Linked DNA regions of Neurospora crassa OR74A. The protein of the gene in region 1 interacts with the protein of each later gene in a biochemical or structural test. Links are inferred from orthologs where the notes say so. Each region holds a gene or a part of one and is shown on either strand. Other genes may lie near its edges.

Region 1 (3,749 bases):
CGGATCCCTTTTGCTTTTCGTCTTCCGACACCTTGCCCCAGTCCTCGGGACAAATCATGAAGAGCGAATCACAGCCTATACTCAAGCTGACCAGGCCTTTGTCGGTCTCTTCTGACACATCGCGGTGCATCATCATGGTATCGCCGGGGGTGTAGAAATTGACAATGGCCGCTTGGGCCTGAGTCTCGGGAAACAGGGTCTCCAAAAGGCCGGCAATGTCTTTGGGAAACTCGGGGGGCAGCTCGCCCGGGTAAACGCGATTCGTCCAGTCATACTGTCCACCTAGGGTGACCCAGTGTAGCTTGCGGTTGAAGACTTGTTGAAAAGTGAGAGGCTTGTGTACAGAAGGGTCCTTTGGCTCAAAACACGTCTCGGAATCTGGAGGGTAGGAGAAGAAGGATTCCTGAAGGCCTGTTTCGGGATCCACGGGCGGGTAGGGGAGCTTGAAATGGAGATGCATGTTGGTCTGGTGATGGGGTTGGTTGAGATCGCGGTGAATGATGTTGCGCAGTAGCGTCTTTTGGACCTCGGGGGGAATGAGGTTTGGGAGAATCAAGAGACCTTTTGGGGTTGGTCAGCAATGATTCGTGAGGAAGAGGGGTCCAGGATCTTGAGTTCACCAGGCAAGAGAGGATGGTAATAGATGGGGGCGTCCTTGTCTGTGCGGAACTCTGGTGAGTCTTCGGGGCAGATATAGCTGAAGGACCTGTTCAAAGTCTCGGTAGGAATGGAGCCAGCGAGCACAAACTCGGGGGCTTTTTCGGGACTGCGCAAGTCATCGATCTCGGGGCTGTTCATGACGATTTTCTGGTCGACTTTGGCGAACGACTTCCACTTGAGCCGCAGCTCATCCGACGGCTGCTCGTGCGCATCCAGGTCATGGTGTCCACCCATCATCTTGAAAGTCGGGTAGTTCTTTTGAGCGAGATATCCAAAAAGAGAACAGAAAAGTGACCGAAGAAATGGATATGAGTATACAAGTTGACTCCTTCCGAGTCCTCGTGTGACGTTGCGGATTTGGAGTAGGGAAGTATCGTGAGATGAAATTGTGGGGACTCGAGTGAAGCTTCAGACGGGACGGATGGTCGAGATGGATTGATGTGTGGGCGTCGAGCTGAGGCTGGGCTGGGCGTCTGAATGGCTGGAGCTTCTGAATGGCGCCACAAGTCAGGGGTAGTCAACAGTTAGAGATCGTGGCTACCTAGAAGGTACCTACGTATTCTGCCCCATCTTGGTGGGCTGTCGGGTACAGTCAATGCTCCAAGTAGTAGTACTTACTAGAACTAGGTAGAGGTGGTACATATGTACCTAGATTGCTTGAAAGTTTACCTACCTACCTTGAACTCGGAGTACCTACCGACGAGGAAAGCGGGCATTTTTTGGACGCGTTCATTCCTCCCTTGCAGTCCGTCCCTCCAGTGAGTGGTTTCCATGGTGCCGTCGCGGTCCGCGCTTTTTGTGTTGACACGGATTTCCGTTGCAAGCGCCAAGTCTAAGACGTAATCGTCCCGTCTCCAACCACCTGCACTCGGATGCCCGTCTGGAATAAAACCTACCTACTGCACTACAGTACAGCGGACCACCCCCCTGGACTGCCCTCTAAATCCGACACTCGAACGACAACCACAACTTCACAACCTCAACTTCCACTTGCACGTCCACCGCCTCTCCTTCCTTGGATTTCTGTCCCTTCACCATCACGGTCCCTTAGTATCAAGAAGTTGCAGGAACAACGGACGACAATTACATCGCTCGCTGCATCATATTGCCTTTTCATCAGCGGCCTTTCGCATTCAGCCCTCCGCCCAGGACGACCCGTCGACCATTCACGGCACCATCATCACCACCAAAAGTCAACACCAAAACAAAGTATTTACGGTAGCTAGTACTGTAGCCTTTTGACGGCAACGACGGACGATTCCACCTTTTTTCGTTTTTGTTTACCAATCCGCCACTGCGCTCCCTTTGGACACCACCTATCCTTGGCTGGACCTTGACTCTCCAAGGATCAATCAATCTCAAGAAGGCGACCCTTCGACGGCCGTCACTTTCTCCATCCGCCGCCGCCGCCGCCGCCGCCCCACGCTTCGTTCTGGGCTTTTCCATCAATCACTGTGCTTCAGCGCGCTAGGTACAACATCGTTCGTCGTAATCGTCCCCCACCACGACGACCACGAACACCAGGCACCAACCCCAACTAGTAGTTCTACGACTCCGGGCAAAGTCAATTCTTTCCCTCCAGGGACTTTCAAACCACCCATCTCAGTATAGCGGCCTGGACGGGTAACAGAGCAACCATGGAGAACTATCAGAAGCTGGAAAAGATTGGCGAGGGTACAACACCCCCTTCTTCTTCGACCCCTCCACCTTGGCTCTCTTCCTTCCATGTCCCGTACTGACATTCCACCTTCCGCATAGGAACGTATGGTGTCGTCTACAAGGCCCGCGACTTGGCTAACAGCGGGCGCATTGTCGCCCTCAAGAAGATCCGCCTCGAAGCCGAAGATGAGGGCGTCCCCTCTACCGCCATCCGTGAGATCTCGCTGCTCAAGGAGATGCGCGACCCCAACATTGTGCGTCTCCTCAACATTGTCCACGCCGACGGCGGTCAAGGCCATAAGCTGTATCTTGTCTTCGAATTCCTCGATCTTGATCTGAAGAAGTACATGGAGGCCCTTCCTGTCAGCGACGGTGGTAGGGGCAAGGCCCTCCCCGAAGGAACGGGCGCCGGACTGCACAATTTGGGACTGGGCGAGGATATCATCAAGAAGTTCATGAGCCAGCTTTGCGAGGGCGTCCGATACTGCCACAGCCACCGTGTCCTACACCGCGATCTCAAGCCCCAGAACCTGCTCATCGACCGCGACGGCAACTTGAAGCTAGCAGATTTCGGTCTCGCCCGCGCCTTTGGTGTTCCACTCCGTACTTATACCCACGAGGTCGTCACATTGTGGTACCGTGCGCCCGAAATCCTGCTGGGTGGTCGTCAGTACTCGACCGGTGTCGATATGTGGTCCGTTGGTTGCATCTTTGCCGAAATGTGCACACGCAAGCCCTTGTTCCCTGGTGATTCGGAAATTGACGAGATCTTCAAGATCTTCCGGTACGTTTATGCAGTTACCTTTTCTTGGCACCTTTCTGCTTCTCCCCTAGTCCGCTATACTGACCTCTTTTCCTCCAAACAGTCTGCTTGGAACCCCTACTGAGGACATCTGGCCCGGCGTCACCTCCTATCCCGACTTCAAGGCATCTTTCCCCAAGTGGGTACGCGACTACAACGTACCACTTTGCCAAAACCTCGACGATGTCGGTCTTGAGCTACTTGAATCCATGCTTGTCTACGACCCTGCTGGCCGAATCTCTGCCAAGGCAGCGTGCAATCACCCTTACTTTGAAGACTACAACCCCAAGCCAAAGAGCAAATACCGCGACAGCAGCAGATACGCCTAGGGACGTTCGCCAAGGTCGAAGCAGGAGCGTTAGGCAATAGCAGATCGACTATCCAAGTTTTGCAGCCGGCTGCTTAGGTTCGGTTGGATCTCGGTGACTTCAAAGTGGGCAGTTCGTGGCAAGGGTACAGTCTTTGTGATTCTACCAGTAGCGAGTGAGGTCGACACACCGAAACGGTGACAGAAACAAACTGTCATTATCACACCTGAAGCATATCATAGCATCCCACTTTGCTTTCAGGATACTCGGAAACATGATATTCGACACATCAAATTCCCCATACCTACATTTTGTTGTAT
Region 2 (3,749 bases), on another chromosome or scaffold:
ACCTCAGCTACTGGGGATATGCAGAAAACATACATTACTACACGCTGTCTTCTTTCCCTGGAGAAGCACAAAATGCAGTTACTCAAAGGGGCTCACTGGCTCAGGAGCGGTATAACCACGGGATACAAGGAAGGGCGCAACAGTCCTCTCAACTCTCGACCACTATCATATCCCAGTCAGCAAAAGACTTTGGCTTATCACGCAGCTTGGTTGCAGGGTTTCACTTACGATGCTCTTCTGCTGGTGGGGAACAACTCCATCCTTGATCCAAATACCATAGCTGCCCATCATGTTGGCAAGCATCATGTCAGTGGCCAGTCGGTCTCCCACGACGGCGATCTGGTGAGGACTGGTGACACCGGTTTCCGGGTGGGCACGGAAGTAGGACATGATCTCGTCTCCACAGCCTGGCTTTTTCACACCATGGGGGAGAACAGTGATGCCGGTGGCCTTTTCAACTGCGGATGCCATCTGGCCGTCCTTGTCCCAGCTTAGGGCACCAGCAGTGTTGGAAACGATCAGAAGACGGCGTCCTGGGTATGCTGCTCGTAGAGCCTCCATGCGTTCCTTGGCTTAATCAGTCAAAGCGTTCCTGAATGGAATTGGGACGAGAGACAACCCACCTTGTAAGCCTCATACACTTCATTGTGATCAGGATAGGCAAAGCAGTCATCTTTGTCGAGCACGACAGCCTTTATGTCAACCTTCTTCTCGCCATTGCCGGAGAAGGCTTTGTTAAGAGGGATGGGCAGGTCGTTGAACGTTGGAACTGTAGCGTGGGGCAGACATAGTGAAGGCTTGGCGATAAGCTTGAAAATGTTCAATGAGGCAGACAAATTGAGATTGAGCTTTGACATATTGGTCGCGATAGTCCTCTTGGAGTTTGTTTGGTTGAGATGACATGAGGTTGCAAGAAAGCCTATGAACTCTCCCACCTATAACCCTCCCGCGAAGTACCTAGAGGTAGCGTATGTGGTGGTAGACAGGGGCTTGGCTTGCCCCCGTTAGTAGGCAGCGAACCCTGCTACCCGCAGGTACTCTCTAGCAGGTACCTGCTGTCTTCCCATCTAGAGGTAGGTAGCGTCATCCCGGGCGTATGTACAGCTTAACGCGTCTCAATTAAGCGAGCGCGTCTTGACTTTACAAAAGTTTCCCGTAGACTTCGAATTGCAGAGGTAGGGTAAAGGTACAGCGGGACTCCAAGGCATGCCATACAACTTGGACAACATAAACCAAAGCCAATAACACAAACGGTATGCCTCCTCGTCGGAAATCAACAGATCAGCACGATCTAGTCGAACGCCCCTCTCGAAAGCGGCCACTCCCTGCCGACCCCTACGAAGTTCCAGATGAGGATGATGCGGTTCCCTCCGCAAAGCGTCAACGGCGACAACCAGAAGATGGAGGAACACCTTCAAAGCGAAACGCCACCCCGCGGAAACAGGTCGATTTCCTCCAGCGCGACCTAGCCTCTGTGCCAGAAGAACCCGAGTCACCTACCGAGCAGACACCCAGCAAGAAAAGGATAGGGCGACCACCGAAGGCCAAGACGGGAGGAACACCAAGTGGCAAGCCGAGCACACCATCCGCCCTGCGCAAGAAACAAGTCGACGAGACACCGATCAAGCTCAAAGGAATCAGTGGCGTCGACACACCCGGCAGGCGAGGAATTGCCGACCGATCGGCTAGACGGAAGAGTGCCAGGGCTCTCATCGACCGTGTGCTGGAGGGCGCCGTAAGCGATGACGAGGACGAAGAGCAACAAATCGCACGAGAGATCTACGAGTCAAGCGAGGAAGAAGAGGAAGGGGACACCCAACAAGAAAACCTCGCCGACCAAGAGGCCGAGTTAGCAGCAACCACTCCATCCAAGACAGGGAGGGGGAGAGGACGAGGAGGCAGACCCCCCGGTTTAGCACGACGAAAGAAATCGCCCACACCACCCCGAGACCTCCCTCCCCATGAACAATACTTTTACCAGAACAAGCCGGGATCCAACAAAACCTCGAACAACACGCTCTCCTCGCTCGACCTCCTCATCCACGAAGAATACTTCTCGCTTCTCCGCAACCTGGGTCAGGACCCCCACGAAAAACATATCGATGCCCTCCAGTCGCAACACGCCGCCTCCTTCCCCCAATGGGCCTTTGAGCTCTCCCAAGGCTTCAGCGTCTGCCTCTACGGCTACGGCTCCAAGCGTCGACTTTTGCACCAATTCGCCGAGTACCTCTTCTCCTCCTCCGGCGGTAATGACACAAACAACACAACAATCATCATGATCAACGGGCACACCCGCACCCTCACCTTCCGCGAGATCCTCACCACCATCTCGGCCGCCATCGACCCCACCTTCCGCCTACCCTCCGGAAACCCGCTCGCCATGATCCAAAACCTCTTCACCCTCCTCTCCTCTTTTGCTCAAAAGCCAAGAATCACCCTCCTCCTAGCCTCCCTCGACTCCCCCTTCTCCCCCCTCCGCAAACCCCAAACGCAATCCCTCCTCGCCCATCTCTCCTCACACCCAGCCATCTCTCTCGCTTGCACAGTCGACACGCCCGACTTCCCTCTGCTCTGGGACTCTAGCTTACGCTCCTCGTTCAACTTTGCATTTCACGACTGCACCACTTTTGCAGACCACAGCAAAGAGTTGGACGTAGTAGACGAAGTACACGAGTTACTGGGTAGGATGGGCAAGAGAGCGGGTGGCAAGGAAGGAGTGGCGTTTGTGTTGCGGAGTTTACCCGAGAACGCGAGGAAATTGTTTGGGCTGATTGTGGGGGAGGTTTTGGTGGCTTTTGAGGACGGTGGTGGTGGTGGTGGTGGTACATCAGGGGCAGGAGACTTTGCAGCGGGAGGAGAAGGGCCGGGGGTAGAGTATAGGATGCTTTACAACAAGGCTGTGGAGGAGTTTATTTGCAGTTCGGAAATGGCGTTTAGGACGCTGCTAAAGGAGTATGTTCTTCCCTCTGTTGTGACTTGGCTGTGGAGATGATTTTCTTGGTTTTAAAGGGACAACGGCTAACAGAACGGAAACAGATTCCACGATCATCAAATCATTACGAGTCACAAGGACTCGATAGGGACGGAATACTTGAGCTTACCTTTTAGGAAAGAGGAGCTGGAGTCTATCCTGGAGGAGTTGATGTCGTAGTGATGATTGACGACGATGTATCATGACAATGCTAAGTTTTGAATCGAGATGAATGGGACACACACAGATTTGACCTGGAAGTTATCATACACACGGCAACACCCACCACATGTGTTGGAATGGAAGCCTACACATCATATCATAGTCTTAACATATCCAAAATCCTGGAAAGCTCACCGCAGAACATCAATAGCTCAAGTCTTACGATAATTACAAAGTCGAAAATGTATACTTGCCACTTCGATGTTTTGCTTGTCATGCCATGCTCTCATGATAGGTACTCGATTACCGAAAGGACCTAGTCCACTACTTTGTTTGGCCACACACACACACACACACACACACACACATCGAATCACGAGTCATCGAGCACAAAAGACATCAAGAGTATAACGAAGTTGAAATGTTTTTGATTGGATTCCTCAGTTCAGACAATTCCGTCTCGCGCGCCACGGATGCCAAGGAGACAAAAACAAGCAGCCGCCATGTCCGGGGAACTTTTCCCAAATGCCCGAGCTTCGATCTTGGTTCAACCGTATAAACCAAGCCCAAATCCCAAACTATGTCCAGGGAAAAAACAAACATTGTGCAAAAGAAC
Region 3 (3,749 bases), about 2.2 Mb from region 1:
GTGAGATACAGAAAGTTGGAGTCCTGTCGGAAGGGGAAGAAGACGGCGCCGGAGCGGTATTTGAGTTCCGAGGAGGCGAGAATGGCGATGCCGTTTTCGGGAAGTGCGAAGGCGAGCTTGGAACGTCGCTCGTGATATTCTTGGGCCGTGATGCCGGGGGTTAGTTCACCCGGTTGCAGGATGTGGGGGTGCGTTTCGTAGACGGGCTGGCCGAATTCGAGGTCGGCGGCTGAGACTGTTGTCGTCGTCGTCGTCGTCGTTGCGTATGTCCGGGATGGGCGCCATGGTGTTGATGGTGGTGAGCTTGGGTGAGATGCGGGGAGGATGGACTTGGCAGATTGGAGACGTGGTTGGAGAGGCCAGTTATTCTGAGCGCGCAAGTGTCGAGAACATTGCCGCAGGACGGCTTGGGGAAGCTTCATGTCAAATAAAGGGTGGTTGTCAAAGGGTGATGAGGGGAAGGAATGTGGTGGTTAGGTGAGAACGAGGTGTGAGTTCACCTCGGCTCGCCGGGTTGGTGGCGTAGGTGAACTTGGTTTGGGATGGCTCGCAATGTTGATGATACGTATTTTACTAGGACTACCGGCACCTAAAGTCTAGCTACAAACTGATCATGGGGTTGTCGGAATCTCAACCTTTACCAACCTCCAGATTCCCCAAGCAACAAGGTACGGCGAGAAATGAAGTTGAATTGCTTCGCGACGGACAAGAGGTCGGTTCATAGGTAGGTATGTTTCGTAAAGGTAAAGACATGGGATCTCGTCACTTTATCATTCTCACTTTTGCTCAAATGAATGCTGACAGTTGCCAGGCGCTTCACTGGACTGCCAAGAGTCCAGGTCTCGCTGCCCGGGCATCAAATGCTGCCTGCCAGCTGCAAGCCGCGGATGTGGAGCCGCTGTTGGCATTCCCCAGCACGACCTGACAGCAACAACAAACCACAGCTGCCAGGCGTGGGTGCATTTTCATTGTCAGCGCTTTTCAGTGTAGGGCAGCCAGTGCAAGCATCCCGGGCCGGGCGCCTGCACTCCCCCCCCCCCCCCCCCCACATTGCCTAGAGGTTTGGCCTGCTGGACCCTGCTGTCGCGACTGTCATTATCAAAACCAAACACTTTGATTACACAAAGGTTTTTTGACCACCCACCAACACCAGAACATTGGATCTTGGCCTGTTCGCACCGGGCGTCGACTGACTTCGGGCGCGATTCGACATTGGAAGGTTTGCGCAGATCATCCAATTGGCCTTAGCCGTTTCCTTAGTTTTGTTCAACAACGGTCCCTTCTTCCTTCCCGTCACCGGAGCTCAGCGCGTGCCACTGCGACGACGGAGCCAAAACCTCCAGCGACAAAAATCGAGAGACGCGTTTTTGGAAGAACAGACAACTGTGCCCCAACCTCCACCACCAACCGCCTCACTTTAGTTGTTTTGCGCCCAGGCCAGGGTCGAGTGCTTCCTTGCTCCTTCCCAGCCAACGACCAACGATCGACGACGAATAATTGTCCGACCGCATTGGGCCATTGTTCGACCATCGACACCATCGATCACCGAGCCTAAACCACTTTGTCTTGTCTGTCGAGTCGGCACTCAGCACACGACTTGATTCTTGGTGTACCATAGTTATCCGGGGTCCCCCTACCCAAACTCCAAGCTAGTACCAGCACGCGACCAGACAGACAGCCCGGAAACTGTCTCCCTCCCTTACCATCCCCGAGCCGGCGTTTCGGAACAAACAGAAACAACACCACACCCATAGCATGTTGACTGGATATTTTACAAGACAACAGTATCGCTAGATCGACATCCCACAGCAATGTCGTCAACCACCACCACTGCCGCGGGCACCAAGAGGGCTCCTCTCTCCGACAACCCCAATGCCGCCAACTCGCCGCTGCGTGGGTCCTCGGCTACCGCCTTGGCACTACAGGGCTCTAAAAAGGCCGCCGTCCGCTCCCATGCCGATCAGCTTAGAGAGGAGCCATACGGTCAACCACCGCCGGCCAAGAGACAGATGATTGAACATGGCGGTCAACGCGCCGCCGCCTCGCCGACGAGCTCCCGGTCCAATGTGTCCAATATCACGCGCAAGGCCTCGACCATATCCCGGCCCATTGATCGGGAACGGCCTGAAAGGGCTTCTTCTAGATCAGGCACCACCGTGGCTACCAGCACCACCACCCGTGCCGAGAGGTTGTATGCCGCCTCCACCACCACCACCACCACCTCCACCACCACGACGACCGACCGCATCACCGCAAAGGAACTTGAAGACCTTAGTATATGGCAAACCTCTATGAGATCTCGCTTTCACAAGATGGTCTTCTACTTTGAGAGCATTCCCGACGAGCAACGTCACAAGCTCGCCAAACAAGTCGCTCAATTGGGCGCTGTAAGTCAACGACCCCTTGCCCAATGCAGGCCCAACCGCTCGGCTTATACTTACACTTCGGTCACAGCGCGAGGAAAAGTTCTTTTCCATCGAAATCACCCATGTCGTCACCACCCGTCCTATCCCCCCTGTAAAGCCAGTCCAGGACGAGAACCAGCCCGTTACCAACACGCAATCGACAAGTGAACAGCCAAAGACAATCGATCCCTCTCTCCTGAACCGCAATGGCGACTCGGTCCGACGCAAACTCATTTTCGACAAGCCCTCACTCCGGAAATCCTCTGTGCAGCCCCAGGAAGAGACGATGCCGAAGCCGAAAGCACGCAGCACCGACATCCTGCACCGTGCGCGGGACATGGGCAAGAAGATCTGGTCGCTTGACAAACTCCAGAGGATTCTCGGCATGGTCCTTGAAACGGACTTGTACAAGGCGGCATTGTTGGGCCGAGGCCACACACCAGCAGCCGCGGATAGGGCCAAGGCTCGCCAGCAGACTGCGAATGTACTCCAAATGCTCCAGAATGAGCGTGTTCACGGCCCCTCCGATCGCGATCCCACCGTTGTTACCAAGGACATCCACTACTTCAAGGGCCCCTACATTTATGTGTACGACATTGAGGAGAAGACGAGGCCGATCATGGTGAGGGAGTACCACAGAGTTGCCGACAAGAAGGACGGCGAATGGCCTCAGTTCCGTGTGGCATCCCAGGGCCGTTGCCCATTTGTTGAGGATTATGATCCCCCTGAAAGGACGAGGCGGGAAAAGACTCAGACCAAGGAGAAAGTTGTCAAAGCTGCAGATGCCGCCGCCGCTACCGAGAAGGCTACCAAGACCCTCCAGCCCCCCGAGGTACCATCACCCAAGCCGGTTACGGGAAAGCGTACTCTTAAGGAGATGGAAGCACCCAACGACCGTGCAACCGAAGTTGTTGATGATGCCCCCGAAACCGTCGAGTCAGCCAAGGAGCCCACCCCTTCGGTCGATTTCCGTTCGCAGAATGCCTTTATGAGCCATACCACCAAAGTTGGCCGTTTGGTAGCCGGAGAGCCCGTCGCTTCTGGCATCCAGGCCAACAAGCTCACATCCGCCATTCGCTCTCAGATGGTGTCGTCCACCACCGGTGTCCTTGGCGCCAAGGCCGGTATCAGCAAGGAAGTTTTGGGTCTTCAGCGCAAGGTTCTTCAGAAAGCTGGTGGTCCTTCTCTTTCGCAAGACTCTGGTGTTCGTCGCTTGGCCGAGATTGGTGTGGATGCCGCCCAGTGCACTCGTGCCGCCAGCTTGGGTAATCCGGCCAAACCCCCGATGCCTGGTATCTGGGAGGACGATGAAGCTCGGAAGCAGGAGCAGGCCAAGAAGGAGAG

The links.
Region 2: of the proteins of cdc28 (region 1) and NCU01370, one has a biochemical effect on the other in vitro, tested with the Saccharomyces cerevisiae proteins (5 studies listed by BioGRID). The link is inferred for Neurospora crassa OR74A from reciprocal best matches to the Saccharomyces cerevisiae genes CDC28 and ORC2.
Region 3: of the proteins of cdc28 (region 1) and NCU05972, one has a biochemical effect on the other in vitro, tested with the Saccharomyces cerevisiae proteins (2 studies listed by BioGRID). The link is inferred for Neurospora crassa OR74A from reciprocal best matches to the Saccharomyces cerevisiae genes CDC28 and DBF4.

Annotation. Positions count from the first base shown.
Region 1 is NC_026506.1:1,089,372-1,093,120, reverse strand, and holds the start of cdc28 (cell division control protein 2), read left to right. Parts: upstream 1-1,580; 5' UTR 1,581-2,297; coding exon 2,298-2,334; intron 2,335-2,418; coding exon 2,419-3,103; intron 3,104-3,185; coding exon 3,186-3,450; 3' UTR 3,451-3,749. Other genes in the region: NCU09779 (oxidoreductase), read right to left, coding at 1-561, 621-897. UniProt on the Saccharomyces cerevisiae protein: Cyclin-dependent kinase that acts as a master regulator of the mitotic and meiotic cell cycles. Required to drive the G1-S transition. More than 200 substrates have been identified. Substrate specificity is in part regulated by the bound cyclin protein.
Region 2 is NC_026505.1:3,801,404-3,805,152, reverse strand, and holds NCU01370 (hypothetical protein), read left to right. Parts: upstream 1-1,128; 5' UTR 1,129-1,255; coding exon 1,256-2,952; intron 2,953-3,036; coding exon 3,037-3,151; 3' UTR 3,152-3,374; downstream 3,375-3,749. Other genes in the region: NCU01371 (UPF0660 protein, variant), read right to left, coding at 79-162, 229-567, 624-857. UniProt on the Saccharomyces cerevisiae protein: Component of the origin recognition complex (ORC) that binds origins of replication. It has a role in both chromosomal replication and mating type transcriptional silencing. Binds to the ARS consensus sequence (ACS) of origins of replication.
Region 3 is NC_026506.1:3,251,088-3,254,836, reverse strand, and holds the start of NCU05972 (sporulation-specific protein 6), read left to right. Parts: upstream 1-1,111; 5' UTR 1,112-1,811; coding exon 1,812-2,387; intron 2,388-2,454; coding exon 2,455-3,749. Other genes in the region: NCU05971 (xaa-Pro dipeptidase), read right to left, coding at 1-422. UniProt on the Saccharomyces cerevisiae protein: Regulatory subunit of the CDC7-DBF4 kinase, also called DBF4-dependent kinase (DDK), which is involved in cell cycle regulation of premitotic and premeiotic chromosome replication and in chromosome segregation.